Callithrix jacchus: one gene and its partners. The protein of the gene in region 7 interacts with the protein of the main gene of each other region in a pairwise test. Links are inferred from orthologs where the notes say so. Each region holds a gene or a part of one and is shown on either strand. Other genes may lie near its edges.

Region 1 (4,287 bases), on a different chromosome or scaffold from region 7:
ACTCTTTCTCTCAAAGCAAAATAACAATAATACATGAAAATAAAATACTTTTATGAAGAATTATTAATTGTGCATAATAGAATGCTGAATGAAAAAAATCAGATGCGAAATTACATATACAGGTCAGGTGCAGTGGCTCACACCTGTAATCCCAGCACTTTGGAGGAGGGCCAAGGCGGACGGATCACTGGAGTTCAGGAGTTTGAGACTAGTATGGCCAACATGGCGAAACCCCGTATCTACTGAAAATAAAAAGTTTATCCGGGCATGGTGGCATGTGCCTGTAATCCCAGCTATCTGGAGGCTGAGGCAGGAGAATCACTTAAACCTGAGAGACAGGCTGTGCATGGTGGCTCATGCCTGTAATCCCAGCACTTTGGGAGGCAGAGGCAGGTAGATCACCTGAGGTGGGTAGTTCAAGACCAGCCTGACCAACACGGAGAAACCCTGTCTCTACTCAAAAATACAAAATAAGCTGGGTGTGGTGGCACATGCCTATAATCCCAGCTACTCTGGAGGCTGAGGCAGGAGAATCACTTGAACCTAGAAGGCAGAGGTTGCAGTGAGCCGAGATAATGCCATTGCACCCCACCCTGGGTAACAAGAGTGAAACTCTGTCTCATTGGGGAAAAAAAACCTGAGAGAGGTTGCAGTGAGCCATGATCATGCCACTGCACTCCAGATGGACAACAGAGCAAGACTCTGTCTCAAAAAAAACCATTACATATACAGTATATCTCAATTGCATTGTATACGCACAGAGAAAAGCAAAATGTTAAGTATTATCTCTGAATAGTGGATGATTTCAATTTTCTTCTACGTATTTTATTGATTTTTCCACATTTCAATCATAAGCAGTTATCCCCTTTTAAAACCAGAAAACGGCAATAGAAGCGATTTTCTTTGATCCTCTACCTCTCATCCCACCTGGCCGCCTCCGTGCTCTGCCTGGCCGCCCTCACCTTGTCATCGAGCTGCTTATAGAGGCGGCGGATCTCCTCCTCATATTTCTGCCGCTCCTCGGGTGCGATTCGCACCACAATGGATGAATTGTCATTCACAGGGGTCTCCTCACAGAGCTCAGCCCCCAGGGCTGCCTCCTCCCCAGCCAGGCGCTCCGTCTCGGGCACATTCTCTCCTGCAAAGGGGCAGGATAAGGTGAGGAATGGGAGAAAAATAGGTTGCATCCACGAGTTCTTCCTTCTCACTCTTCATACCAAGACCTCTGGGGCCCTTGAACTCTCTTGCCAGGTGGACCTTCTACCTTTTGCAGGGCTGGGGAGGTAGGTAGTCAGCCCCCTCACTCCCTTTCCTCATGACTGCTCTACTACACCTCTCCAGAAATGCAGCCCCGCTTCTTGGAGATTGGCTTGGCCAGAAACGTCACCCAGAGTTGGCTCCCCAGCCTTCTCCTCCTCCTCCCACCACCCCTCACTCCCACTGATCCCTCTCTAACCATTGCGCCACCGGCTCAGCTCTGCCTCCAGCTTCGCGATCGTCTCCTTCTGGGCCTTTGTCTTCTCCTTTTCCTTCTCATATTTCTTCTTCCACTGCTCAGCAGTCAACTCCAGATTCACTGAGGCGGTGTTCTTAATGGTCTTTGCACTGGGTGAGAATAAGAGGAACAAAGAGATGAGACCTACATTAGACTTGGGTGACCCTGAGGAGAGAGAACCACAGGGGCTGGGATGGCAAGTTGGGTACCAGGGATCCCTCATGGGGACCCTGCCACTGACCGCTGCCCAAACATCAGCGTGGACTTGGTCTCTGCATCATTGTAACTGGACGGCGAGCAACAGATGAACATAGTCGTCCGGCAGTTTCCCCCCAGAGAGTCCTGGAGAATCCTTGTCATTTTGCTGTCACGATATGGAACATAGCTTTTCTGCGGGAGGAAGGAGACCATGAATCAGAAATAAACTAATACAATTCAACAGGGAATCAGAAAGTGCAGTGGTGCTACCCAGGGATCAAGTGACCCATGAATTGGGGCATGATTATATGGTGGCATTAGCAGGCGGGGGAGGAGACGGGGTGGGGCTTGAGGGGTGAGGGGACCTAAGGATCACTCACAGTGCCCTCAGCCAGTGCAGAGATCACATTCCCCAGGGCTGACAGTGACTTGTTGATATTCTTTGCCTCGTCCAGCACAGCTCCCTCTGCTCCAGTCTTGCTGACCTACCAGGGCAATAAGAGATGACTATATATGAGTAGCTACACATGGAGAGGGCTGTCACCATCTCATTCCAGGGCTCAGTCCAAGGAGAAAGGAGGGAACAGGGAAGAAGACAGAGTAAAAGAGATGCTTGGCTGGGATTGGGGAAGGCGCTTGCTCTGTTCCCCTCAACTCTCCTGTCCAAGCCCACCTTGCCTTCACCTCTTGCCACATATTATATGATTTCATTTATATGAAATGTTCAGTATAGGCAAAACCATAGAGACAGAGAGTAGATTAGAGGTGGACAGGGGATGGGGTTAGGGGACAATGGAGAGTGACTGCGAATGGGTGATGACAGTGTTCTAGCATTGGGTAGCATGATGGTTGCACAACCTTGGGAACATACTACAAACCACTGAGTTGCCTTCGAAATGGTGAACTTTATGGTATGTGAATTATATCCCAATACAAATAATTTTTTAGTTCAAAAAAAGACTGTAGTCCCAGCTACTCGGGAGGCTGAGGCAGGAGAATTGCTTGAACCCAGGAGGCGGATGTTGCGGTGAGCTGAGATGGTGCCATTGTACTCCAGCCTGGGTAACAAGAGCAAAACTCTGTCTCAAAAAAAAAAAAAAAAAAAAAAGCCAAGGACCAGCCGGGATGTGAAACCCTGTTTCTACTAAAAATACAAAAAATTAGCCAGGTGTGGTGGCAGGTGGCTGTAATCCCAGCTACCTGGGAGACTGAGGAAAAGGTTGTGAGCTGAGATTGCGCCACTGCACTCCAGCCTGGGTGACAGAGCCAGACTCCATCTCAAAAAGAAGAAGAGCCAAGGTCCAGCTTGGCCAACATAGTGAAATCCCGTCTCTACTAAAAATACAAAAACTTAGCCAGGTGTGGTGGCGGGCACCTGTAATCCCAGCTACTTGGGAGACTGAGGCAGGAGAATCGCTTGAACCCAGGAGGCAAAGGTTGCAGTGAGCCGAGATGATGCCACTGCACTGCAGCCTGGGGACAGAGCAAGACTTTATCTCAAAAATATGAAAGAGCCAAGGCTTTCACCCACCCCATATCCACAGGACCCCTTACCTTCTCACTCCCTGCCAGGTCCACCAGATACAGCTTCCCACTGAGCTTCTGCTCCGTTTCCATGTTCTCCTGCTTGATGTTGATAAGGAAGATGCTGTGGCTCCGAGAGCTGTGTTCATTCATGTCTGCAGGAGCAAGGGAGAGACAGGACCTGCACCACCCTGCAGAAGTGAGGTCCTCAGCCCCTGGCTTCCACTGGACCCAGCCCCGCCCACCTGGAGAGAAGGTGCCCGCCAGGACTAGACCTACTGCCACATCTCCCAGGCAGCAGGATCCCTCAGACAAAGGGTCTTCTCTTCTGAGGGGCATAGTCTTTCCTGGCTCACTTTTGAGTCCCACCACCCCAGAGGACACAGAAGACGGGTAGATCCTCAGACTCGAGAGATCCCCTTGTATCCCCACTCACTGGTGACAGCCACATGACGATTTGATTTCCCTTCATCAATCACGTCAAGAATCTCCTCTGGGCTGGACACAAAGCGTTCAGTACAACCCTGTGGGGGACAAACAGACAGTGATCCATACACTTTGTTTTTAAGTTTGTATTTATTTTTATCTTATTTATTACCTTTTTGAAACAGTGTCGGCCGGGCACAGTGTCTCATGCCTGTAATCCCAGCACTTTGGGAGGCTGAGATTGGCGGATCACCTGAGGTCAGGAATTTGAGACCAGCCTGTCCAACATGGTGAAACCCCATCTCCACTAAAAATACAAAAATTAGCTGAGTCTAGTGGTGCATGCCTTTAATGCCAGCTGCTTGGGAAGCTGAGGCAGAAGAATCGCTTGAACCCAGGAGGTGGAGGCTGCAGTGAGCCAAGATCGTGCCATTGCACTCCAGCCTTGGCAACAGAGTGAGATTCCATCAAAAAAAAAAAAGGAAAGGAAAGGAAAAGAAACAATGTTGCTCTACTACCCAGACTGGAGTGCAGTGGCACTATCATGGCTCACTGCAACCTCGATTGAGCTCCTGGGCTCAAGCAATCCTCATGCCTCAGCCTCCTGAGTAGCTGGGTCTACAGGTGTGTGCCACTATGCCTGG
Region 2 (4,287 bases), on a different chromosome or scaffold from region 7:
GGATTTGGAAACTGAGGTTCAAAAAAACGAAGTAATTTGTGTTTTTTTGATCAGTTGTAGGTCCGGGTGTTTCAGCATCTTAGATTGTTATTTATAATGGATATCATTGGGATTCTGACTTTCCTGCTGTGGGTGTAATACAGCAATGAAGGGAGCAGGAAAGCATTCAAGTCTCTATCATACAAAAAGTAAACCACCAGCGTCGACTCAGCTGAGGCTCACAGAGTGTCTGTGCCACTTAATGTAGACCACCTGACTTCCTTACTATGGTCTAGGTAATAGGTTTTTGAAATAGGGCTCTCACTCCTGATCAGCAGCCAACGTGAAGAAGGCTTGGTTTGGGGGCTGCAGGGTACCTGTTGGTGTGCGAGTTGTTGTGCATGAACCAGCTCCGGTTATTGTCCACATACATTGCCCAAGCTTTGTCGTCCTTTCCTAACATCACATCCTTCATCACGTCCATGCGAGCCACGCCAAAGGCAGGATCAGGGTGGTTGTCATAGCGATCTACCGTTAGCTCCCAGTAGTGGACTCCCTTGGAGAAGCCAGTCTTCCCTAGCACCACCCGGTCGTCATAGCTACTGCAGGTCACTGTCAGGTTGTCATTGGAGAGGATGATGTCTGAGTGCGCCGAGCCAGGATCGAAAGCAAACCAGGCCACTGGGAACAACAGAAGGGAATCAGGTTATTAAGACAGACCCAACAAGCTCAGCACCATAACATACTCCTGGGCGGGTGAGGAGCGTTGTGTAGCGTTTTCATGCTGCCATGCAGGAAGGAGGCGTCCAGGACCAAGGCAGACAGGGGCATGTCCTGGGAGTTGGTACTCTCTGCACCAGAAGCAGACGGAGGACACACGACCGATTCAGCAGGGGTTACCTGGCTCAGACTGCACTCCCAACCAGGTGATCCGGGAGTGAAGTGGCATCGATTTTGGAAGGTGCAAGTCCCTTCACCTGGTGACTGGCTGAACAGTGCACCAGAGACATAAAGGGAGAGGGGATGCGCTAAGATGCCTGTGTAACCCCTTAGGCGGGGAGGCTAGGAGCTAGAGTCCTAGATGGAGGAGGGATAAAACACATGGAGTGAAATCAGGAAATATCCCTTTGGCAGAAGTGCTAACATCTAGTCGCTTTGAAGTTTTCCTCAGCTCTAGTGAAAGCTCACAAGCTGCGAAGCTATAAGCAACATAAACGAATTTTCATGAGTGATTGTGACTTGGATGTTGGACAGGTTGCTGTCTGCATAACTTAAGAAAAACACAGTTTGCATGCTACTCCTGAAACTAACACGTCAGAAATTTTGCTGGAGCAGTAGGTATTTTGGACAGTAGGTGCAGATAGAATGATGTGTTTGTACACATTGTTACGCCCCAAGTTCTAAATGCCACCTATAAATATCACACTCAAAAGATGTAATTGCTGATTTATTGAACCTGTGAGACACCTCACATGCACTTTGGTCTTTGCTATTAGGTAAGAGAATAAGGTTATTCCATACCTGCCAAGAGCTTTTTAATGTCAACTGTTGTCATTCCAAGTGAAAGGCATGGGGGAGAGAGATAGGAAGCAAAATTGACATGGATAAGAAAACGTGTCTCTCTTTGATAGACTAGTCCCCAAAAGGACTCAATTTAAAATGCCACATATACTAAACAGGAGCTCTCTGACCTGTACCTTTACCCACATTTAGTGCTCATAAAGAGTGCTTTGCATTGATGTATAAGAAAACTGGGGGGAAAGTAAGCTTTAAGGCATAACACTGAAAACTACAGGCATCTTTTCCATTTTTTTAAGAGTTTGAGAAACTGCTATAATAGGGTTAGAATGACAATTAGACAATTTTATTGACATAAGACAAGCTGCTGCCATTTATTTTGTGAAAAAAATTGAGCACATCAATCACGTAAGTAAAAGATAACAATTACAATAAGTATACTTGCCTAATTGAGAGTAAGGTGCAGATTGTGTCTCAAAATTGCATCCTATAAAGAGATACTACACATCAACACTATGAAACAATCAGGTTGATAAAAATTACTTGTATATACACTTAAAAAGCACCAGCTGAATACTGATACCAGAGGCCTGATCCATGAAAAAACAAAGCCCTTTTTATATTAGTTTACTTTGCTGGGTGAAAAACTGCCTTTCTGCTCTTTGAAAATGAAAAGTACGTCCTTTTACCATTAATAAATCATCTCCCAATTGATCCTAAACTCTGTAGCTGAATTTTTCATCTTCCGAGCTCAATCTTTTCCTCTAAAGTTTCTACAGAAAGAAGGCGAGCTCCTGTAAAAATGAGGAAAATGTACTTAATTGAAATGGAGAAGTCACTGGATTTTGATAAAACTCTGCTCTATCTCACTATTCTATGCACTTCGGAGTCTGGTTTTGCCAAAAGGTCTTCATTGTGACTTGAGCCCAAATTAAATAATACATCTCTAACTAAATGTGTAATGTAATGCATCTGATAATTATTAATAATAACATGGCGAATGTGTTAAAATCGCCTCCTCTCCTTCTTAGGAGAGATCCTCCTCACCTGAGGGAGGAGGAGGGCTGGTAGGAGTGGGTGTGGTCTCAGAGATATACTGGAATCGCCTGTGAAACTTTTTCAACTGTTTGCATTCCCTAAGATTTGGATACCTATACCTCATGAGAAACTACACTGGAGTGGAGGAAGACTGTCTAGTCTTAAAATGTTCAAAGGTGCGTGACCTACAATTTCCAGTGGTGTCAGGGACTGATCTAGAAAATGTGGGTTTGATGAGCACTGGGGGATAAAGAAAGGATCATTTAATTTGTTTTCTATTTAGTAAGGCCTTTATATGCTAATTCCTAAAACATTTGGAGGATAATGTGCGGACTTAAAAGATTTCACAAGAATTAAAGCAATTTACTATAAACAAGGACTAATGACTGAGTTAAAAACAAAATATAAAAATTATGATCTTACTTTTGGTTAGTTTGTTTTACGCTGGGATGAATTCGCATGCAAAAGAATCATTTTCTCCCAGTTCATGGCTGATTTTTATGTTTAGTTTCTATCAATTATCACTTTAATTCCTATTCATGTGTTAGAGCATAGTGAGTATGGGACACCCAGAGTTTTAAAACTGACTCTCATATTCAGCTTTGGAAATAAGTTTGTAGAATCTGAACAGGGCTTTAAAGACTTTTCAATGAATCATGCCTTGTGCAACTCTTTTGCAAAACAAATATTCTGAAATCTTTTTACACTACTTCAAATACATCATCATACATTTAAGATTCAACAATACAACTAGAGTAATGCTCTTAAGTACACCCATCAAATATCCCAAAACTCACATTTCATTTTTATTCTTGAGACAATATACATTACAAAGACTGTAACAATATTTCAGTACATTAGACACAAGGGAAAAGAGTTTCATAACAAAGCATGTTGGGAAGCCATAGTGCACAGAAAAACAATAAGAAACATAAAAGCACAAAGAAAAATGTCATTTTAAAGAGAGCTTGAAGTCCCTGCATCCTTTTTGCACTGTCATGCTGTGGCCTTCTTCATTCCAGAATGTGGGATGAGCAAAAAGAACAAAATAAAAAGCAAAAGAAACCTTTGGAAATGTGAAATGTGCATCATGTGTATCCACGATTACAATATAGTCCTGAAGAGATCAAATAGGTCTGCATCTTAGATATTTTAAGATTCTATTTGCTAGGCAGTGTTCACTACAAAGGAACACAAGTCTAGCTTCGCTGAAATCAGCTGTAGGCTCTGTCACAACCGGCTTGGCTGTGGGAAACTTTGAGGAGGGCAGACTTTGATTACTCAGATCTTTGGTCACTAGGCATTAGCAGCTGAAGGTTTCGAATTCAGCTAGCAGTGGTCCCACCCCGTTGCTAGGAGAACACTCAGCCATGAGCCCCACTGGCCTAGCAGTGAGAACAGGCTTTTGCAGAAAACGCTTTCACTTTCTGCTTTCTGGATCGCCCGCTTTGTAGAATGCTTTCTGCTATTGGTGTGTTTTTACTTTTATTTTACTTTGTCAATAAAATGTTGGTGTGTTTTTACTTTTGTTTTACTTTGTCAATAAAGATCTCTTGAGTCTATGTTTAATCAGACCACTCCAGGCTGGATGCACTGATCCAGTCTCCCAGACACAGCTGGTTTCCTGGATACAGAAGGGCTGCAAACCTCCACATTGCTGCCACGGCCTCCACTCAGCCAGAGCCTGTGCCGTGCTGTGCCACTGCATGTGATGACAGAGCGGGTTATCCATGGTGGTCCAGCTTGTGCAAA
Region 3 (4,287 bases), on a different chromosome or scaffold from region 7:
TTCCTCAAGGATCTAGAACCAGAAGTACCATTTGACCCAGCAATCCCATGACTGGGTATATATCCAAAGGATTATAATAAATCATTCTACTATAAAGACACATGCACACATATGTTTATTGCAGCACCATTCACAATAGTAAAGACTTGGAACCAACCCAAATGCCAGACTGGATAATGAAAATGTGGCACATATATGCTATGGAAAACCATGCAGCCATAAAAAAGGATGGGTTCATCTCCTTTGCAGTTACATGGATAAAGCTGGAAACCATCATTCTCAGGAAACTAACACAGGAACAGAAAACCAAACACCGCATGTTCTCACTCGTAAGTAGGAGCTGAACAATGAGAACATATGGACACACGGAGGGGAACATCACCCACCAGGGCCTGTGAGGGGATGGGGGGCTAGGGGAGGGACAACATTAGGAGAAATACCTAATGTAGATGACAGGTTGATGTGTATGGCAAAACCACCATGGCACGTGTATACCTATACAACAAACCTGCACGTTCTGCACATGTATTTCAGAACTTAAAGTATAATTTAAAAAATGAAAAAAAACCTCATAGAAACAAACAGTTAGATTTTACATTCGAAATTATATGCTAGAAAAACATGAAAATTCAGGTGTGAGGTTCCAATAAACTGAACCATATGAAAATGCTGTGTTTGTAGGTCACAACAGCCAGAAATGTATGACCTTCTACAATTCATCCTAATAGTAGAAGTGTAATTCTAGGCTATAAGGGACCCAGTGCTGGCCCATTCACAATGCACCTGCAGTGCACATGCTTCATGCCTCTGGTGGCTTCCCCAGGGTACTGTACCTGAGCAGAAGCTGTTGCTGCTAACGGTCCTTGCTGAGCGCCCAGAGCTGCTGGGGTTGAACTCTCTGCTCTCTTCCTCAGAGAAAGGAGACTCAGAGGCTGGGGACACTTTGTGCTGTTGTTGGGGCAGATGGGGCCGAAGAATCAACCGGGGAATTCGGCTTCGAGAAATCTCCTTGTCATGGTGCTGCACTCTGTGCTCCTTCTCAAAATTGAACATCAAAAAAGAAAACAAAAGGAAAGGCATTTCCCTCTCTGAACTCCTGTGGGTTCCTTCAAGGATCAGTTTCTAAGAAATCACATTTCTGAGTATTGAGTCTTCACAGAGTAGCCCTGCTTATCTCAGTTACTGAATGAACTTCAAAACCCTTCTACTGAGCTAACCTTTCTAATCTACTGAATAGCACATATCTGTGTGGCGCATACACACACACACACACACACACACACACCCCACATATACACACTACAGACTTCTACTCACTAGCTGGAAGGCATCCTACTTCCCTATGCCAGTCCTGACTCACCTTCCCACCCTGACTTCTTCTATCACATTCAAGCTTCCATCTCCCAAAGGCTCTTTATTACACCACACTCTGGCTTCTTACTTGATAGCCTTCGGACTTCCATTTTGCTTTCTCTAAATTAGCTGTGACTATCTGACTACTGTTTTCTTGTCTCCTCACAAAGTCGAACCCTATACCTGGAACAGTTATTTCCTGATAGCTTGCACAAAATTATCTTTAAAATCCCTCCTCTTCTGGACAGGATCTTAATTATTCATTAATACCCTAGTACACAAGGCTTGTTGCCAACAGAAAAGCAAACACAAATCTGATAGATGGGAAGATGGCTCCACCTTTTACATCATCTTTAGTTTGTGTTTTCTTTACAGGACATCCATAACAAGAGATTTTTCTCTCTCTTTGAAAACTCAGTATGCAATACCCTGCCGTGCCTTGGTTTTAAAAATGCATAACAGTAATATTTTCACAATGTTTTGCAACTTACAAGGTGCTTTCCCAACCATTTTCTCATCTGATCTTTACACACCAGACGGTACATAGAGAGGACACAAATGAATGGCCCTATTTTCAGTGAGGAAACAGCCTAAATGGGGTAGAGATGCTTAGGCAGGACTGTACACCATGTCAGAAGTAGAACGAACTTCCAATCCAGTGCTTTGCAGGGTCACCACCATCCTGCCTTATTAAAATGGACTCCTAGGAGGAGCGTTGTGCAAAAAATTCCACGGCTTCCTCCAACCTCTGTCACTGAAAAGGGACTCTTTGGCTTAGGTAACAAACACCCTTTCGAAACATGACCTACTGTTCCTTTCCTCAGACTTAACCAGGAAGGGTCACGGCCAAAATAAACACCTCTGGGAGGCCGGCACATGGCAGGAATTGAAGGGTAAACCCCAGCGATAGGGAACTTCAGAGGGCCCTCAGGCAACCACTGTACCCAGGGGCCGCCAGCCGCACCCAGCCTCGGATTCGCCCTGCACATCTGCCGCCCAGCAGGTACCACCGCGCCAGCCCCTCTGCTGGGCACACCGCAGACCCTGAACCGAGGCGGGGTCACTGACACGCTCGAGTCCTCATTTCCCAGTCGCGAATGCATCAGATTCCTTTCATTCACATCTCACACACCGAACATCAACTGAAAGCTACACCACACACTCCCAGTTTCAGGAGATGGGATTAACCCTCCAATCATGTCAGTCTCCAAAATCTAGTCCTCCAGTACCGCCTCCCCATCTCCTGGCTCTCAACACCTAAGCAATGCCCCCTGCCTTCTCCGGACCCCACCTCCCCCTGTCCTGTCTTTCCCCGGACCCTAAACGTCACCCCTCCAGCTCTCATCCCGCCCGCTTCTCGCCCCGCAGCGCCCGCCTTCCCCGCCCTTCAGCGCCCGCACTGCCCCGGGCTCCTTACCTTGCTCTCTCGGAGGGGCCCCATCGCGCCGCTGCCCGCCGGCTCCTTGCGCCGCCGCTGCCGCCGTCCAGGAGGAGGCACCTGCGAGCACGGAGTGAGGAGACTGCGCTGAGCCGGCGCGGGCTGCGGGCGGCGGCTGCTGCGGCTCCAACGCGCCGCCGCCGCCAGAGCCGCGGATTGCGCCAGGCTCCCAGGGCGCGCCCGGCCCCGCCCCGGTCGGACACGTGGTGCCGCAGTCGCCTGAGGCCGCTCCCCTGGCGCCTTCCTCACCTGAGGCCCTCGGGGCAACTCGACCGCGCCTGGGCGTGCCCCACCCGCTGATTTGGCCACGGCACCGCCCGCCCCCACAAGGCCGCATGTCCCTCCCTCTCCAAGGAGCTCGGCCCGGTGTGAGCAGGCCGTGGCTAGCGGCGTCTCCAGCCCAGGGGTGCCCCCACCCTCGGTCTCAGGTTTGAAGAGGGTGGCGTTGGATGGAGTAACTGAGAAAAGCTGCGACATCTCAGAGGCAAAACAGAGAAAGTTTTCCCCTGGCGACCCCTCCTTGGCCTCCAGGGCTTAAGTCAACCTACAGCTCTGCACAACTGCCTCGCCCGAGAGCAGCGGGGATCTCTCTCCTACCGGACCCCAGCCAAGCCAGTGCGGCAGGACGACTGACACAGCCTGCGCCTGGGTTCCGGGATCTCAAAGGCTGCGGTGGATTCTACTTGTGGGGGTTGCATCAGAAAGGCCTTCAGTGGGCAGCTCAGTCCCTCCGGCTTGGGGAAGCGAGGCTGCGAGGTAGCGGGAGAACAGCCTTTTCCCCAGCTCTGCCTGGCAGCTGCCCGGCGCCAGGAAGGAGCTCAGGCGCACCGCTAAGGGAAGAGCACTGCAGTTGAACTCAGAAAAACGAGTTCAAGCCAGCACTCCATCAGTCCCTTTAGCCTCAGTGACTAGATGCCTAAAGTTTTTCATTTTATTTATTTCTTTATTTTTATATATTTTTTGTGCTTTTGTTGTTTTTTGATGGTTTTTGTTTTTCGTTGTTGTTGTTGAGACGGGTCCGACTCTGTGGCCCAGGCTGTAGTACAATGGTGTCATCAGGGCTCACCGCAGTCTCTAACTCCTGGGATCAAGGGATCCTCCTGTTTAGGCCTCTCAAAGTGCCGGAATTACATGCAGGTGGCTTTGCCTGCCTGGCCTACGCCTACGGTTCTTGACTCTTCTGAACTGCAAGTTTACCCTTGTGAAATTGAGGGATGATAATAGTGATACCTACCTCTAGGATAGCTGTGACGGTTAGATGAGGAAAACAAAACAGCCGATAGAGCAGAATTTTCCAAAGGGCGGCTAAGTTGGTCCAGGTGATCCGGTCAATATTTGCCGATGCCTTTTACATGACAGGCATAAAAAGCATTTGTGATGCACACAGATTTGTTGAAGAAAGGTTGAAAATCTGTCCAACAGCAGACTTAGAATAGGGTACATCTCTGGCCAAGAGCCTTGATTTATTACACTTGCTACCCTTAAATCTTATCTGG
Region 4 (5,087 bases), on a different chromosome or scaffold from region 7:
GCAGTGACTACATAGACCCTTCGAAGCAAATGCAACATGCGGCAAGGAGCTTGCAGGCATTCACTGTTCATAATAACATCTGGTTCATGTCACTCTTTCTCCCTGCCACACCTATGGATTAGTCACAGCAGGGACATAGCCATTGAATACTCGCCACAGCACTGTTGTTAAGTCACTGCCAGGTATATGGCAGGCAGTAAGAAAGTTTACAAAATAATTATCAAAAGTAGACCGCAAATGGCTGGGCACAGTGGCTCATAACTGTAATCCCAGCATTTTGGGAGGCTGAGGTGGGTGGATCACCCGAGGTCAGGAGTTCGAGACCAGCCTGGCCAACACGGTAAATATACATACAATTCAAAAGGATTATTTTAAACCTTTTGTACACAAAGTGTTTTTATTTGATCTAGATGCCCTGTCTCACCAGAAGCATTAAGCTATAGAAACAGAGCTCTTGTATCTTAGCTTGTGACTAGCTTTACTATTATTACTAAAAACAACCTCTTTGTTAATGAACAAAAGCAATTCATTTTCATGAAGAAAAGCTAAACATTACAAAAAAGAAAAAGCACACTCAATAATTCAGCAACACCTTAAAGTATACCCTTCTTAAACTAGTTTTATTATGTGTGTATATAAAGACACTCACTTACAGATTATTTTTCACAAAACTGGGATCACATTTAATTGCTGCTTCTGTCTTTTAACACGAATATCTTTCTGTGCTAATACTTTTTTGAAGGCTCTGACACTAGCTGTGTAACAACAAACAAGTTACTTCACCTCCTTAAGACTCGCTCCTTCATCTACATAATACTGTAATTATCTACCTCACAGGTTTATGTGAGATTAAATAAAATAATCTGTAAAATACAAAGCAAAATGTCTGGTACATACTAAAGGATCCAGTAAATGTTGATTTTTTTATGGCTGCATAATAACCTATCAAGCATACCTAATTGCCGGATAAAGTTTATTTAATCAATACTCTAGTTGGATTTTTAGCTAGGTTTTGTTTTGTTTTGTTTGGAGACTGAGTTTCGCTCTTGTTGCCCAGGCTGGAGTGCAATGGCACCATCTCAGCTCACCACAACCTCTGCCTCCCAGGTTTAAGCAATTATCTTGCCTCAGCCTCCCAAGTGCACATGCCACCACACCCAGCTAATTTTTGGTATTTTTAGTAGAGACGGGGTTTCATCATGTTGACCAGGATGGTCTCAATCTCTTGACCTAGTGATCCACCCACCTCAGTCCCCCAAAGTGCTGGGATTACAGGTGTGACCCCCCACTCCCCCCACCTCCCACCCCCAGGCCCAGCCTTTTTGGCTACTTTTTAACCCATTAAAACAACATTGACATTAAAATCCATAGAGCTAAATCTTTATCACATCCTAAATTTTCTTAGAATAAATTTCTAGAAATAGAATCCTGGCTCAATTGTATTTAATACATTCCCAAATGGAAGGGCCTTACATTGACTAAAATGCCCATTTCCTCACACTCCTCATCTCTACCTCACTCTCTACCTACGTTTAAAGTTTATCTTTGTTTCTTAATAGTGTTTTGTAAAATTTTAAAAGACTGCAGTAAATGGTATGAAAAGTACAATCTTTACTACTTAGATTTTAATCACCATTCACACTTGAGAAAAGAGGCAAGACTTCGGTGTCGTATTCTGATTTTTTCTCAAGCACTGTCTCACTACACATAAGCTTTAGATTTAAAAAGAACAACTTTAGTTTACAGTTTCAGAATAAACCAAATTCAGTCGTTTATAAGATAATGTTAAGAATTCAGAAATGCCTCCAAATTAGTCAAAACTCCGCTTTTCTTGCAACTGCAAGCAAAAGACCAGAAACCCTAAAATTAAGGAACAGATCTGCTCAATCTGTCGAGACTCAAAAAGCCTGGGAAGAAATTAAACGGAAACCTTCATCTTCGCCGTTGAGACCCTGTGCTGCCAGCATCGAAACAACTTCAGTAAATGCGTAGGAAACTGTTTCTTTAAATTAACACTAGTAACACGCCTCCTTTTCCCTGGAAATGCATTTCCTGCGGCGAAGGCATTCCTGAAAATCAAGCGTAACCCTATTCTCAGAGCAGCAGCAGAGCAGCAAGACTCAAAAGGAATGCAGAGCAGAGTTCTGCACAGGAACAAGGCCGGCCGGGCGTCTTCTGCCTCCCCGCCCGCCAGTCCCGGATCAACCAAGTTATGCGAAGTGACTAACTCGTGACAGCCTCCGGCGCTGGACGCCGGCCACGCTGCCACCTCGTTCAGGTCCCACCGCTCCTGCAAGCAGCCTGACCCGGGATGGCTCTACTCCCCAGCCTTCAATCCCAGGACCTGGGTTTGGAATTAGGAGACTTCCTCAAGGGTCAGTCTTTGTGCGGGATCCTGGCCCTTCCACACAAAATCTCACAATGGGCAACAGAGAGGAGGACACCTCGAACAGAGGTCAACTATCACACAAGGGACCCGGGTTTTCCCACCCCGCCCTCATTCCCGGAGTGGGGTCTCGGGTGGGAGAAGCGCAGACAAAGATCAGAAATCATGCAATTTCGGTGTCCCTCACACATTCTCAGGCTGAAGTCGGGCCTTAGGGGAAAACTCGTAGCAGAGATCGGATGTCACGAGGGACCCAGCTACCTCCATCCACTCAGTACTGGATGGAGTTTTGTGATGGGAAAAATCCAGGTCAGGAGTTACGGACGACCTGCGCCGACCGGGACTCCTTCTGGGTCCGGAGTTTGGGAAGAGTCCCGGGTTAGGGATCAAAGGTCACGGAAGAACTCCCCACTCTCCCCGCCTTTCTTGTCCCGGGCCGGTTCAAGGGGTGTCGGGAACAAGCGGAGGAGAGCAGCGGCCATAGTACCTGAGTAGGGGCCGGTGCCTGCTGGAGCTGCTGCTGCTCCTCGCTGATCTTTTGCTTCAGTTTCTTGAACATGGCGCAGCGAAGGGTCCTGAGTGTCAATGAGACCTGAGGGGCGAGAGCCCTGGGAGTCCCGGCCGCGGCAGCGACAGCGACTTCTCTACACCAGGGACAGCGGGGGCCAGGCCTCGCCGCCTCCTCGTTGAGCCCGCGGGCAAGTCCGGACACTCGTCCGGAGGGTGTCGGCGTCGCCGCCGCCGCGTCTCTTTCTTCCGGGTGCCACTGGCTGGCCTCGGACCCCCATCCAGCCCCGGCAGCGGCGGCGGCGGCGACAACGGCAGCAGGTGAACTGTGTGCCAAGGGCGCCTGCGCGGCCTACGTGGAGCTCACCAAGGCTAACTACGGAGCACCGGAGGGCACAAGCACGATGTCGGCGCCCGCACATGCGCGCTCGGCCGGTCGCCCCGCGCTCACGGGAGGACGCAAGGTTCGCGGCTGCCTGACTTCACTGAGTGCGGAGACAGCCCTCGCTGCTCAGAACCGGAGCGAGGGCTACTCTCAACACCACACTGACTCTCACCTGGGCTTTGGCCCTGCGAAATCAGACGGGGAGAATGCTGCCTCTGGCAGCAGGGCTGACGGGCCCACAGCGAAGAACACAGGGATGAGCGTCCGGATGGGAGAAGGGGAGATCCAGAGAACCTGACGCGGGCCCTAATGGACTGTGCCCTTCTGTTCAGTAGCTGTAGCTGGGATTCTGTCTTCAGTGCCTAGTGTACGTGGCTGCTCCCCAGAGGGGCCCGCTTCTCTTCCCCGAACTCTTCAGCGTGGGGAAGTCCCTGATACCAGGCGCCAGGGGTCCAAATGTTCTACGCCAATACTGTAAGACCTTAACTGGTTGGACTTACTCTTTACTTCGCCGAAATCGTATATTTAACGAATTCATTCAAAACCCTTTATCATGCCTTGGAGATGTTAAAATAATTCCTAGCCTAGTGGAAGGCACAGATTCCTAAAGATTCCAAATTTACTCCTAACACCTGCAATCATCCTACAGGATTTTAATGTTTATGTGCCTCATTTATCCAACACCCTGAACTTTAGCTGCCTGTGAATCCTCCGGTCCATTTCAGCAACCTGCTTCTGTTGTATTGGACCGAGCACAGAAAGTCAACACCAAGACAAAAGTATGCCAAATTGCAGGGTTTATTGCCGGCAACTACGGAGGACTGACGTCTCTCCAACCCGTGGCAGAGAAAGAAGGGTGACGAGACCTTTTTATACCCGCAAAACCACCTTGGGAGTGGGGGTGAGGAGTGGAGATGGGAATGAAAGCTGTCAGTCACCTCCTAGGCTGAGACGAGGGTGAGGGGGCTCCGGACTTTCCAAGGGCCGGGGGACTTTTGTCATTCCGATTGCCACATAAGTGGTTTACAGAAGTCAAGATAAACATTAGTTTATACATTATTTGGACAGGTGTGGGGTCCACAGACTTTTTCAGTTGCTTGGCGCCAGGATGGAATTATCTGGGGGTGCTTACTCGGGTCAGTACCGGTAAACAGAGGCCAGCAATTCTGGCAGTTACAGATAAGTGAAAGTATGCAGCTTTACCTCTCTTTGCATTTTGCAAAGTAAACTTAGCAGTTTACAGAAGCCAAGGTCAGCAGTCATTGTGAGAAGAATGGAAACAGTTTTGTCTCTTTATAAAATGACAGGTTCTAACTCTAGGCCAGCTGTATCACACTTCTGCATGCCATACCTTTGGTATCATCTCAAACTGCTTACCCATTGGTCTCAAGCAGCAGAACCTGACAGAGTACATGCTGATCTTCACATATTAGCAGATTTTGTTTACCAGCAATAGGTGCAACCTGCTCTCAAGAGTCCATATTCTGATCACTAAATGTATTAGAGCCAGAGTGCGGTCTGGAACACTGTCTTAACACCTGGGCTAAGTCCTCTTATATCTCCTAGTGAACACCTTATATAAGGGGTCCCCAGCCCCTGGGCCACAGATGGGTACCAGCCCATGGCCTGTTAGGAACCGAGCTACACAGCAAGAGGTGAGTCTCTGGCAAGCCAGGGAAGCTTAATCTGTATTTACAGATACTCCCCATGGCTCACATTATCGTCTGAGCTCCACCTCCTGTCAGATCAGCTGTGGCATTAGATTCTCATAGGAGCTGGAACTGTTGTGAACTAGACATGACAGGGATC
Region 5 (4,287 bases), on a different chromosome or scaffold from region 7:
CTGTGTCTGTTTTGTCAGGCATGGAACAGAAGAAAATAGCAGAAAGATAACACAAACTCTAATATTATATAAGCATACTTACATTCTAAGTAATATGAACATGTTTGAGTAACTATGAGTTTCATGAGGACAAAACTAGCCTGCCAAATCTACCACCTTAGTCCCTTCCTATCTGCAATTTAGCTTTTGTGGTTTAATTACTCAGGTCAACAGCAGCCAGAAAATATTAAATGGAAAATTCCAGAAATAATTCATAAGTTTTAAATTATGCACTGTTCTAAGTAGTGCAATTAAATCTTGCACTGTCCGGTTGAAACAAGAATAATCCCGTTGTCCAGCATATCATGCTATAAACTCAATCAGGCCACTTGTTACTTGGTAGCCATCTTGGTTACAAAAACTTGCCTGTTGCAGCATCACAGTACTCGTGTTCAAATAACCCTTGTTTTACTTCACTATGGCTCCAAAGCATAAGAGCAGTAATACTGGCAATTCAGATGTATCAAAGAGAGGCTGTAAAGTGCTTCCTTTTAGTGAAAAGTTGAAAGTTCTCAATAAGGAAAGAAAAAAAAAATTGTACACTGATTGCTAACATCTATGGGAAGAGTAAATTTTCTATCAGTGGAATTATAAAGAAGGAAAAAATTTCACCCATACTATATACAGGAATCAATACTATCTGCAGTTCAGTACTATCAGGCATCCATTAGGGGTCTAGGAACATATACCCTGTGGATAAGCAGAGACTACTATACAGTCCTTGATAGATAAAATATTTACTAAGTAAAAAAAGGAATGCACATTCAGTTTTATTATATAAAGAATAGCACTTCTACTAGAGATAATGAACAATGATCTTCTTTTCAAGATAAAAACAAAGTCTCGACCAGATTCTTTGCCTATTCCTAATTAGGCAACAGTGGCTTCAACTGAGTTCCTGTCTTCCTCTTCCTTACTTTCCCTCACTCATAGGAAGCCCTGAATTTAGACTGTTTACAGTTCTGTAGTACATCTAGAACCATACTATCCATACAGTGGTTAGTAGCTGTATGTGACTACTTAAATTTAATTAAAATTAAATAAAACTTAAAATTCAGTTCCTCAGTTACACTAACATTTTAAGAATTCAACAGCCTATGTGGCTAATAGATACATGCTAGACATAGATACAGAACATTTCCATCATCATAGAAAGTGCTAATGAACAATATTGTTCTAGACTATTGATAAGAAAATATTTTTTCTTTTTTTTGAGATGAGTTTTACTCTTGTCGCCTAGGCTGGAATACAGTGGTGCAACCTCGGCTCACTGCAACCTCCACCTCCTGGATTCAAGTGATTCTCATGCCTCAGCCTTCTGAGTAGCTGGAATTATAGGCGCATACCACCACGTGCAGCTAATTTTTGTATTTTTAGTAGAGACGGGGTTTTGCCATGCTGGCCAGGCTGGTCTTGAACTCCTGACTTCTGGTGATCCACCCACCTAGACCTCCCAAAGTGCTGGGATTATAAGCATAAGCCACCGTGCCCAGCCTGAGAAAATATTTATCTGAGAAGAAATACTGGCACATGGAATTCTCACTCCCCAGCTGTATTTTTGAAAAAACAAACTAGGACTACAACCTGACTTGCTTAGTAATAATTAGCCTCCTTTTAGGTAAGTTGGGTTGAAAAATCTTTTATTAATAGTAGATGAGACCAAAATTGTAAGTTAAGGAGAATTTTTTTTTTTTTTTTCAGATGGGTCTTACTCTGTCACCCAGCCTGGAGTGCAGTGGCATGATCTTGACTCACTGCAACCTTCGCCTCCTGGATTCAAGCAATCTTCCCACCTTAGCCTCCAGGATGGCTGGGATTACAGGTGTGTATCACCTTACCCACCTAATTTTTAGTAGAGATCGGGTTTCACCATGTTGGCCAGGTTGGTCTCAAACTCCTCGGCTCCAGAGATCTGCCCACCTCGGGCTCCCAAAGTGCTAGAATTTCAAGCATGAGCTACCACGGCTGGCCTAAAGAGGTTAAAGTTTAGCTTGGGCAATATGGTAAGACCTCATCTCTACTATGAAAAAAAAAAAAAAAAAACAGCTGGATATGGTGGCCCATGCCTGTAGTCCCAGCTACTCAGGAGGCTGAGGTCAGAGGACTGAACTGAAGAGGTCAAGGCTGCAGTGAGCCATGATCATGCCACTGTACTCCAGCCTGGGCGACAGAGCAAAAACAGGGGGTTGTATATGAAAAATTTTTCCTCTGGCGCGGTGGCTCACGCCCATAATCCCAGCACTTTGGGAGGCTGAGGTGGGTGGATCACGAGGTCAAGAGATTGAGACCATCCTGGTCAACATGGTGAAACCCCATCTCTACTAAAAATACAAAAATTAGTGGGGCGTGGTGGTGCACGCCTGTAGTCCCAGCTACTCAGGAGGCTGAAGCAGGAGTATTGCTTGAACTCAGGAGGTAGAGGGGGCAGTGAGCCGAGATCAAGCCATTGTACTCCAGCCTGGGCAACGAGAGTGAAACTCTGTCTCAAAAAAAAAACATTTTTTTTCCCCCTCTGAAATATATTTTTCAAAAAAACTTGTGGGATTACAAAGCCCATCTGAGTGTCTAATACTATGATAAGGACTTGTTAATTCAACATTTATTGTATACTTACTATGTACAAAGCATTGTATCAGAAACTATGTAGGATAAACTCAATCTTTTAAAGATAGTTTCCGCTTTTTAAAAGCTAATAAGTTTTATAGGGAAGGTAAGACACATACAAATATATAAAATATAAAGCAGACACAGAAAGGATTGAATGAGTAGTATGAGCAAAGACAACATGCATTCTATCAGCTGAATGTCTGTGTAAGACAATGTCAAAAACATTATATCAAAAGTAGCCAGACATTAAAACAAATGTCATTAGTCAAACGAAATTATATAATAGTACCGAGTGGGGCGGTGGGGGGAATAAATCTTTAAAAATAAAAATTCAAATTACCTGTTTCTGCCTTGCTGACTTTCTAATCCTGGCTGCTTCTTCTTGAGGATGAAGTAGAACTGAACTCTGAGCTACAGTTGTGATAGGCAGAGTCTCTTTTATTTCTAGGGGAATGCCCCAAACAAAAATTAGTTTAAATAATTTAGAATTATGACACCATTATAATGCCCTTTCTTAATATATCACATGTAATTTTATTAAAAAAAAAAATGATGTGAGGAGTCAAATTTAATTTGAGGATGTGATAAAAAGAAATACCTTGTTCTTTTCCAGAGTTTGTACCACACGAAAGTGATTTATCCTCACTAGTAAGTGGTCCAGACTCTATTGTTAGTGTATCACTTTCAACAACTGTAATAGATAATACCACTGTTATTAAGAATATCTCATTGTCAAGCTTAAATCAAAGCAAAATAACAAAATTCTGGTATTAACAAATTCAATCTAGGGCCACCTGAATATCTCATTTAGTTAAGATCCAGTCACCTTCCTGATGATCAAATATATTTCTCATTAAACCCAAGCCTAATAATACGACATGAAAGACTGAAATTGTGAAAACGTGAAGAACTGATTTAAAAGATACGCTGATAAGGTTTCAAACACAGTGGAAAAGCATAACAAGAGTGAAAATAACAAGGAATCAAAGTTAAAAGAGACGCTAACGAAATGTCAACGTATCTTTGATATATCTAGATGCTAGAATTTTTTTTTTTTAAAGTAATTTGTGAAACCAGAGCAGAGAAGGAAGTTAAAGCAATTTGTTCTGATCATATTTGGGTAGCCAGATACTCTGCATGGAGCAGCCGTTTCTGTTCACTTATTTATTCATTTGGCACCTACTTATGTGGTACATACTGGGGATACCACAGTGAATGAGAAAAGGCTTCAAGGAGGCTTACAGAATAGATAGCAGAACCATCATATAATTATCCCCCAAAAAATTATAATAGTAGAAATCGTGACAAGTACTATACAAGAGAAGTGAAGGGTTATACAATAGAGTATAATAAATAATAACTTGCTGGGCAAGATGAAATTTCTCTGAGGAAATTACATTTAAGCAGACACCTGAAAGGTAAAGAAGAACCAGCCAGGTTAACTATGTGAAGATGTATAGGAGACTTTCCAGACAGACCAACAGGTACAAAACTCCCCATAAGGATAAAGAAACAAACCTTGGCCCATTCAAGGAACTGAAAGATCAGTGTGCATGGGCTATAGTCAGGCAAGGGGGAGAATAAAGCAAGATGAGAATGGAGAAAGCCTCCTCATTATAGGCCCTTTATCAAAAGATATGA
Region 6 (4,287 bases), on a different chromosome or scaffold from region 7:
TTTCAATCAGTTCTTGGTCCTTATTAGTAGCTCGGTCCTCAGCCAAAACTGTAGCATCTTCTTCTACATATGTGTCAGCAGGTGAATTTTGATTTCCATCAACTGTGATAGTCCCAGACAATGGAGATCGGCTAGATTTCAGTAGAGAGGGATGAACCATTCTATAGCCTAAAGTAGAAGTTACACCTGGACCATTTGGTATAGCCAACTTCTTTCCACTAGCAGCATAAGGCCTATTAAACCCATACCCCAAATGTTCACTCCCATTGAGTACTTCCGACTGCCGGGAATTTCTTGTTAGGATACTTGACCGTAGAGGCACTCTAATGGATAGCTGTTGGTTTTGATAAGGCTTTGTAAGATCCACAGCTCTATTAAAGGAATGTGATCTGGTTATAGATGAAGGTGGAAGGAATGAATTCTGAATGGAATGTGAAAAACTTTGTGACCTTACCATTTTTTCACAATTAATAGGTTTACTACTGTCTGGGGACTGAGCTAAGCTTTCACCAGAACTGCTTCCGGTGGCACAGGAGTTTGCTCTAGGCCTTTGCATGCTACTAGCTGACCGGTTTCCATAAAATCCATTCAACTGTGATTTTGGAGTATTGACCGAAGAATATGAAGTCCTTCCTAATAATGTGCCTTTGGTAAATTTACCCAAATTAGATGGTCCAGAAAAAGACTTTTGGTTTAACTCCTCTGTTGATGACACTAACATAGTGGATGGCTTTGCTAACTTTGACGTGAATAATGAAACACTTTTCAAACCTCCCTTTACCCCATTTTTATCAAACATTCCTTGAGTAGGAACAAGTTTTTCAGGATCAATTATTTTATCACGTGAATTTTGAGTATTGTTAGGCTCTTCGGCACCTTGTGCACAAAGTTGGTATTTATTTTTTCTCCAATTAAATGAATGAGATGATGAACAATCAGAGCCATTATTTTTGATGTAACTTTTGATGTTACTATTCTTGGAAGTTCCTAATAAATTAACAGGAGTCCCATTTGACATTGGCTGCAATGTACTTCTTACAGATTTTGATCCATACTTTGGCAACTTGGAACCCAAAAATGTCTTGATTTGTGTTTTTTCTTCCATGAGCTATAAGGTGCATTTGTTCTTAAAATTTGACAGAATCTGTGAAGTGAAAAAAGAAGTACATTAAACATTACTAAATAAGGATAATTACTTGAATTATTACATAATATGATACTTATACTTTTATATGCAGAAAAGCCCAAAAGCTACTCATGATTTCTATAGATCTCCTAGCAAATAATGAATGTACTAATTAATAACTTTATGTTGGAAGAAAATAAAGAACTTTTTTTAACTTTTATGAACGTATGCTATGAATCATGACCACAAAATCCAGAAATAATAAAATCAAACTACCAAATTTGACGATATAAAAAGTAATTCTCTCAGAGTACTTCTTCCAATTTCCAATCCAAGTAATTTTTTCATTTTGGATAATAGTCTCTCCTTTAAAAATAAGAACATATGGAAAGCCATAGCCAGTTCACTCAGGCAAGAGAATGAAATAAAGGGCATTCAGATTGGGAAAGAGGAAGTCGGACTATCTCTGTTTGCCAATGACGTGATTATATATCTAGAAAATCCTACAGACTCCTTCAAAAGATTCCTAGATTTGATAAATATATTCAGTAAAGTCACAGGTTGCCGAAGTACACAAATCAGTAGCACACAAAGAAGGACTAACGATCAAGACTCAATCCCTTTGACCATAGCTGAAAAAAAAAAAAAAAAAAAAAACCAACTAGGAATATACTTAGCCAAGAAAGTAAAAGATCTCTACAAGGAGAAGTGCAAAACACTTCTGAAAGAAATCAGACAATGCAAACAAATGGTAATACATCCCATACTCATTCATTAGCGGAATCAATATCATGAAAATGACCATGCTGCCAAAAGCAGTCTACAGATTCAATGCAATTTATATCAAAATACCAACATCATTTTTCACTGAATTAGACAAAACAATCCTAAAACCACAATGAGATATCACCTTATCCCAGCCAGAACGGCTATTATTAAAAAGTCCAAAAACAATAGATATTGGCATAGATGTGATGAAAAGGGAACATTTATATACTGCTGGTGGAAATATAAATCAGTAACACCTCTATGGGAAATAGTATGAAGATTTCTAAAGAAGTAAATTTACCATTTGATCCAGCAATCTCACTACTGGGAATCTACCCAAACGAAAATTGTATTTAAAAAACAGCTGCATTATGTATGCTTATTGCAGCAAAATTCACAATTGCCAGATGTAGAACCAACTTAATTACCCATCAACTGATGAGTGCATTAAGAAAATGTGGTATACATACACCAAGGAATATTACTCAGCCATAAATAAGAATGAAATAATGTCTTCTGAAGCAACGTGGATGGAGATAGAGGTCATTATTCTAAGTAAAGTAATTCAGGAATGGAAAACCAAATACCATATGCTCTTACTTATAGTTGGGAGCTAAGCTCTGGTTATGCAAAGGCATACAGAGAGGTATAATAGACACTGGAGACTCAGAAGGAGGGATGGTGGGAGGAAGATGAGAGATTTTTTTAAAAACTACACAATGTAGAAGGGTACAATGTACACTGTTTGGGTGGCATGTGCACTGAAATCTAACTTCACCACTATACAATTCATTCATGCAACCAAAAATCACCTGTTCCCTTAAAGTCAGTGAAATAAAAGTTAAAAGAACATATATTTTTTTAATGTATATAATTTTATAAAAACTGGAAGACATCTGAAAAACATTAATTACTTAAGCCACAGAAGTATATAGATGAAGAACATAACAGTACCAAAAAAATTATTTTGGCATCAAGTGTTGAGTAATAAGCTGTCATTTTAGGCAACTATCTCAAAAGAATTTCCATCCAGTAATATAAATACACATTACAGTTAGTGCCAGGGTGAGAAGTACAAAAATTTAATAAAGTTGATTTGTACATTAATCTTAATCTTACACAATTTATTTTATTTTATTTTTTGAGACAAGGTCTCCCTCTGTCACCCAGGCTGGAGTGCAGTGGCATGATCACGGCTCACTGCAGCCCCCACCTACCTGGCTCAAGTGATCTTTACACCTTAGCCTCCCGAGTAGCTGGGACTAAAGGCACACAGTATCACAACCAGCTAATACTTAAAAAAACATTCATAGAGACAGAGTTTCACTATATTGTCTAGGCTTGTCTTGCACTCCTAACCTCAAGCAATAGACCCACCTGGGCCTCCCAAAGTGCTGGGATTAGAGGCATGAGCCACCGTACACAACTTGAATTTATTTTAAATATAACACAAAACTACAAAAACAAAAAGGTTCAATGCACACAAAAGAGCATAAACTAGAAACCATTACTGTCCTCTATTTGAGTAACTTTTTAATAAATTATGACATACCATGTAATAAGATTATAAAGATGAGCTAGAAATATTAATCCCAGCACTTTGGGAGGTCAAGAGATTGAGACCATCCTGGTCAACATGGTGAAACCCCGTCTCTTCTAAAAATACAAAAAATTAGCTGGGCATGGTGGCGCGTGCCTGTAATCCCAGCTACTCATGAGGACGAGGCAGGAGAATTCCCTGAACTCAGGAGGAGGAGGTTGCGGTGAGCCAAGACCGCACCATTGTACTCCAGCCTGGGTAACAAGAGCGAAACTCCGTCTCAAAAAAAAAATTTTTTTGCCCTAATAGTAACAAAAATATATGGTGACTATATGCTCACTGTAATTATATAAGAATTCTGTAAAAACACAAACAAGGGAAAAATGGAAATTTAAAAATGCCTTAGGGTCACTGATGTTTTTAATGTAGTGTATGACATTGTCTTTAATTTTGTTTTTTTAAGAGGCATGGTCTTGCTCTTTCACCCAGGTAGAATGTAGTGGTGCAATCACAGATCACTACAGTCTCAAACTCCTGGGCTCAAGTGGTCTTCCTACCACAGCCTTCTGAGTAGCTAGGATGGACTACAGATGCATGCCACCATTTTTACTTTTTTATAGAGGTGGGGGCCTTGCTACATTGTGTAGGCTGGTCTTGGATTCCTGGGTTCAAGCAATCCTCCCACCTTGGCTTCTCAAAGTGTTGGGATTACAGGCATGAGCCACTGTACTGAGCTAAATTTTTTAAATTTTGTTGTTGTTGCTGTTGTTGAGATGGAGTCTCACTCTGTCACCCAGGCTGGAGTGCTGTGGTATGACCTCAGCTCACTGCAACCTCCATCTAGCGGGTTCAA
Region 7 (4,287 bases):
TCTGTTCCAAGTCAACAGATGGCTTTGCAGTTTAATTTTGGATTTGGCAGTTTCCTTATTTCAGGGAATTCAGAATCAATAGTCAGAATCATTTAGAAAATAGTGATAAGGGGTGGTGGTTTGTTACTGCATTGCCTGGGGGGAGAAAACAGAGTGGCAAATGAAAGAGAAAAGATGATAGAAGGATCTGTTGGCCATATGCTCCTCTACATCCTATTACTAGTTCCCATCATACTACAGTTATAAGTTAGTTTCATATATTCTTCAGAGTCTGATGTACCACTGCTGCTTTCTCAACTAGCATATCATATAGGTGATTATGCTTTTATTTAGGGTTTCATATAGATGTTAAGAAAATTTCTAGCTGGTAAAATTGGAGGAAATGTTAGTGATAACATGGCCTAATGCCTCCAAAATGTATAGAAATGAGAATGTGCCATTACTGATGACATTCTGGCACCTTACTTGTACAGTCTGTGGAAATATAAAATCCTAAGGCATGGTTCCTAATATTGATATAGAAGCAAGTGTACCTGCATGAAATACTGTGTAAGACATGGAAGAACATAAAGTGATAAACTAAAGTAGATGTGTAGATACATATCAATTTTTGTTACTCCAATTTCAAGGAAATTTAGCAGCATTTCACCTGTATTCTTTTTTTACACATTTAGATAACATGACGTGTGGTTTATGTGGTTTTTTTTTATTTGTTTGTTTATTTGTTTGTTTTTTGGTCTTTAACTTTGTAGGCTAACATCCAGTCAATCATGGCATCTGAAAAACAAGTCAACATCCTGATGAAATTGCTAGATGAGGCTCTAAAGGAGGTAGATCAGATTGAATTGAAACTGAGCAGTTATGAGGAAATGCTCCAAAGTGTAAAAGAACAAATGGATCAGATCTCTGAAAGCAACCACCTTATTCATCTTAGTAACACTAATAATGTAAAACTCCTATCTGAGATAGAGTTCCTTGTGGTAAGTATGATTGTAAATTAACAACAACAAAAACTAGTGATGATATATAAAATCCAGTTGTAAATATTTTCTAATTTCCTTATGAGAGCAGGATTTAAAATAATTCCAAAGACCTAATGATAGGATTGAGTAGCATCTTGCCTGTAAATTTCCCAAAATTACACATGCAAATAGTGTGTTTGCATATCTAGAACCACATGGACTTGGCCAAAGGTCATATAAAGGCCCTTCAGGAAGGAGATCTTGCTTCCTCCAGAGGCATTGAGGCCTGCACCAATGCTGCTGATGCCCTTCTGCAGTGCATGAATGTAGCTCTTCGACCAGGTATGTTCATTAGAAAAGACAAAAATGTGACTAAGAATCTGAGACTAAGCCTGTCACTTGTTGTAAAGATTTTGACAAGAAATAATATGAGGCAAGTGGTTTAGGGTTACATTATTAGCTACTCAAGTTTCACTGATTTCCCAACTTATTTCTATTGACACTAGGAACTTTTTCACTTTAGCTCCTCCTAATTGACCATCAATGACTGTAGTTAACACAGTGATTTTTATTTAGTGCTGTCTACAGAACCAAGCACAAAGTAGGTGCAGTGGTTAGACCAGAGAGCATAAGGTTTTTCTAGGCAGTGGCTTCAAAACTTGAGTATCCATCAGAATCCCTAGAGGTCTTATTAAAACATAGATTACCTAGCCCCAACCCCAGATTCAGCAGATATGGACTGAGGTTTTAGAATCCACATTTCTGACCGTTCCCAGGTGATGGTGAGGGAGGACCACACTTTAAGAACCACTGTGCTATCCTGTTTTTCTCCTGTTTTAACTTTTATCATTTAAGTAAATGAATATACCCATAAAACTTTTGGGTTCTTCAAAACTTTGGAAATGTTTAATATTCCATTAAACATCGAGGAAATCTTTTTACCCATTAAACTGGTCACAAAATGTCATTCTGTATCAGGCCATGACATGCTTCTGGCAGTCAAACAGCAACAGCAGCGATTCAGTGATTTGAGAGAGCTTTTTGCCCGGAGACTGGCCAGTCACCTCAACAATGTATTTGTTCAGCAGGTAATTTTATCTTATTATTAACATGAGCATGTTCCTATATATTATTTATATATGACCTTAACCTTAAATTTCCACCTACATATTAATGTGTTTAATTGGGATTGCAGTCAATTCCTTCACATATTCAATTTTAAGATTTGGAAATAGATGCTTCTTTGCTCATAGATGTTCTTTGGGCCTCAGCTGCCTCTTTAGGTAGACAGTCTAGTTCCCTTCAGCTGAAGCTCTCTGATTGTAAAAATCAAATAACTATGCATATTAAATGCATATACTACTTAGACATTCTTATTTATAAAAGTAAGTCCAAACTTGTTAGATGTTTACTATTAGACCTGATTTATTTTTCAATATTTTGAGGTGAGACTCAGAACTTGAGTCAGTATTTTAAATGTGTTGTAAGATCCATGTACTTAGTACATAGTATACTTGTTAAGAAAATGACTATAGCTTAACTGTAAATTTCAGTTGATCTAATTGTCATATAAATGCTTTGCCTATATTTTTATATGGAAAACGATGTTATAATTAAGAGTGTAGTATTAATATTGTTATTAATAATATTAAGAGTATCTTTGAGGGATTTGACTAGAATCCCTCAAATAATAATATCTAATGTAATAAATTAGGTTTCTAATTTTTTTCATCTCTTTTAAAAGTCCTATTTTATTAGCATTATTGGGTGGAAAAAAATTGGGGGGATATCTTGTTCATCAAGAAATACAGTCTGAAAACATTAAATTTTTACTTTGTTTTCACTTTGCAATATTCTAAAACAATTGTATTTACTATATTTTATTTCCAATTAGTTTACTCAGGCCCTCCTTCAACTCTATAACAGGTCGTACTTTCTTTCGGTTCCTGTGAGTACATCAAATTTGGCTCAAGCTTCTCTGATTCTTTTTTTTTTTTCTATTAAGTTTGCTAAACTTAACAGCAGCAGAATCTTTACAGATTATAACTTACTGATTTAAGCTACCTGTTAACCCATATTTGTAGCAGTTTTAAGTGTCTCATAATAGAGACTATTCAGGCCAAAAAGGCATTTAATCTCATTCTGCTTGCTTTTCTTTCTGTCATTTTTTCACTCACTTCATATATTTAGTAATAAATAGTAGTATTACTCCTTTAGTAATAATAATAATATTACTCCTTCATTTTTAGTAGTCATTTATATGCTGGGTGATTGAGGTACATACCAGACATTGACTTGGGATAAATGAGAGACCAATCCTGCCCTCAAGTAGTTCACGGTCTAGGGAAGGGAGACATACAAATAATATACTCCAGAGGGATAAATGTTACGATAGTGGGACCGTGGGATCATAGAGGAAGGCCACTTAACTAAAAGCACGGTAGGGGGAAATCAGAGAGATTCCTTGACCTGAAAAATATCAAGAAAAAGTAAGCTTAGAAGTCACATAGGAAATACTGATTCCCGTTTTTCTTAGGTAATTACTTCAATAACATCTATTTCTATACAGTTCCTTAGTTTTTAAAAATGACACTGTTGACAATGATGTTATCCACATTTGTAGATAGTATTGAAAATAGCAGCCAATAAACAAGAGTTTTCTGTATCCCTGTTTGTTGTAACATGCATTTATGATTTTGCTTCTTGTCTTGTAAACTAATGGCTTCATTTAAAATGAATGCTTCCCATTTCTGAAAAGCTAATATATATTGTTACATGTGAGTGATGCATGTTAAAAACCAGAATGCTGTGACAACCTGAGATGTGCCGGAAAAGGTGGAAGAAGATACCCCACACATAAGAAAGAGATGTTCTTTGTGTTGCATTCAGTGCATCAGGTCACCTAGCAAAAGAGTTGGGAAACGTGGGTATTTCCACTCCTGGTAGGGGAACAAGCTGGGAAAATTGATTAAAATAATATGGTACACCTCTTTGTCAATCACAGAATTTTCATTGTGTATTTATTATGCACTGTCTTCCATATGTAAGAATAAGAAATAGTTTGTACCCTCAAGATGCTTGTAAGGAGTTAATATACTTACTCCTTGTAAGGAGTTAAGACTAATGTACATTAGCAATGTATATAATAAATTGCTAATTGTAGAACTGTGGATTTTAAGTGCTAAAAAGGTTTAATCGAAAGTAAGTTTATTGCGACTTTAAGGAGTCAGATAGGGAAGGAATCGAGGATAAGGTAGGACTTAAACTGAGTCCATGCAATACAGTTTATAGCAAATGAGTAGTTATTATAACATTTACAAATAAT

What was found.
Region 1: the proteins of EXOC1 (region 7) and KIF5A interact in a two-hybrid assay, tested with the Homo sapiens proteins (2 studies listed by BioGRID and IntAct). The link is inferred for Callithrix jacchus from reciprocal best matches to the Homo sapiens genes EXOC1 and KIF5A.
Region 2: the proteins of EXOC1 (region 7) and TRIM9 interact in a two-hybrid assay, tested with the Homo sapiens proteins (2 studies listed by BioGRID and IntAct). The link is inferred for Callithrix jacchus from reciprocal best matches to the Homo sapiens genes EXOC1 and TRIM9.
Region 3: the proteins of EXOC1 (region 7) and SYBU interact in a two-hybrid assay, tested with the Homo sapiens proteins (2 studies listed by BioGRID and IntAct). The link is inferred for Callithrix jacchus from reciprocal best matches to the Homo sapiens genes EXOC1 and SYBU.
Region 4: the proteins of EXOC1 (region 7) and GOLGA4 interact in binary tests that used the Homo sapiens proteins (3 or more experiments, as listed by UniProt). The link is inferred for Callithrix jacchus from reciprocal best matches to the Homo sapiens genes EXOC1 and GOLGA4.
Region 5: the proteins of EXOC1 (region 7) and CEP295 interact in a two-hybrid assay, tested with the Homo sapiens proteins (2 studies listed by BioGRID and IntAct). The link is inferred for Callithrix jacchus from reciprocal best matches to the Homo sapiens genes EXOC1 and CEP295.
Region 6: the proteins of EXOC1 (region 7) and CCSER2 interact in a two-hybrid assay, tested with the Homo sapiens proteins (2 studies listed by BioGRID and IntAct). The link is inferred for Callithrix jacchus from reciprocal best matches to the Homo sapiens genes EXOC1 and CCSER2.

Annotation. Positions count from the first base shown.
Region 1 is NC_133510.1:62,128,683-62,132,969, forward strand, and holds part of KIF5A (kinesin heavy chain), read right to left. Parts: intron 3,742-4,287; coding exon 3,654-3,741; intron 3,373-3,653; coding exon 3,248-3,372; intron 2,179-3,247; coding exon 2,074-2,178; intron 1,886-2,073; coding exon 1,737-1,885; intron 1,606-1,736; coding exon 1,457-1,605; intron 1,139-1,456; coding exon 963-1,138; intron 1-962. UniProt on the Homo sapiens protein: Microtubule-dependent motor required for slow axonal transport of neurofilament proteins (NFH, NFM and NFL). Can induce formation of neurite-like membrane protrusions in non-neuronal cells in a ZFYVE27-dependent manner.
Region 2 is NC_133509.1:85,561,195-85,565,481, forward strand, and holds part of TRIM9 (E3 ubiquitin-protein ligase TRIM9), read right to left. Parts: intron 1,985-4,287; coding exon 1,943-1,984; intron 1,525-1,942; coding exon 1,501-1,524; intron 661-1,500; coding exon 357-660; intron 1-356. UniProt on the Homo sapiens protein: E3 ubiquitin-protein ligase which ubiquitinates itself in cooperation with an E2 enzyme UBE2D2/UBC4 and serves as a targeting signal for proteasomal degradation.
Region 3 is NC_133517.1:87,414,096-87,418,382, reverse strand, and holds part of SYBU (syntabulin), read right to left. Parts: intron 4,137-4,287; coding exon 4,026-4,136; intron 2,950-4,025; exon of another isoform or gene 2,852-2,949; coding exon 2,771-2,851; intron 1,039-2,770; coding exon 834-1,038; intron 1-833. UniProt on the Homo sapiens protein: Part of a kinesin motor-adapter complex that is critical for the anterograde axonal transport of active zone components and contributes to activity-dependent presynaptic assembly during neuronal development.
Region 4 is NC_133518.1:75,101,863-75,106,949, reverse strand, and holds the start of GOLGA4 (golgin subfamily A member 4), read right to left. Parts: upstream 3,222-5,087; 5' UTR 2,946-3,221; coding exon 2,874-2,945; intron 2,763-2,873; exon of another isoform or gene 2,574-2,762; intron 1-2,573. UniProt on the Homo sapiens protein: Involved in vesicular trafficking at the Golgi apparatus level. May play a role in delivery of transport vesicles containing GPI-linked proteins from the trans-Golgi network through its interaction with MACF1. Involved in endosome-to-Golgi trafficking.
Region 5 is NC_133511.1:46,665,769-46,670,055, forward strand, and holds part of CEP295 (centrosomal protein of 295 kDa), read right to left. Parts: intron 3,338-4,287; coding exon 3,245-3,337; intron 3,091-3,244; coding exon 2,987-3,090; intron 1-2,986. UniProt on the Homo sapiens protein: Centriole-enriched microtubule-binding protein involved in centriole biogenesis.
Region 6 is NC_133513.1:45,819,132-45,823,418, forward strand, and holds part of CCSER2 (serine-rich coiled-coil domain-containing protein 2), read right to left. Parts: intron 1,145-4,287; 5' UTR 1,106-1,144; coding exon 1-1,105. UniProt on the Homo sapiens protein: Microtubule-binding protein which might play a role in microtubule bundling.
Region 7 is NC_133504.1:140,888,266-140,892,552, reverse strand, and holds part of EXOC1 (exocyst complex component 1), read left to right. Parts: intron 1-752; coding exon 753-980; intron 981-1,171; coding exon 1,172-1,304; intron 1,305-1,940; coding exon 1,941-2,050; intron 2,051-2,856; coding exon 2,857-2,910; intron 2,911-4,287.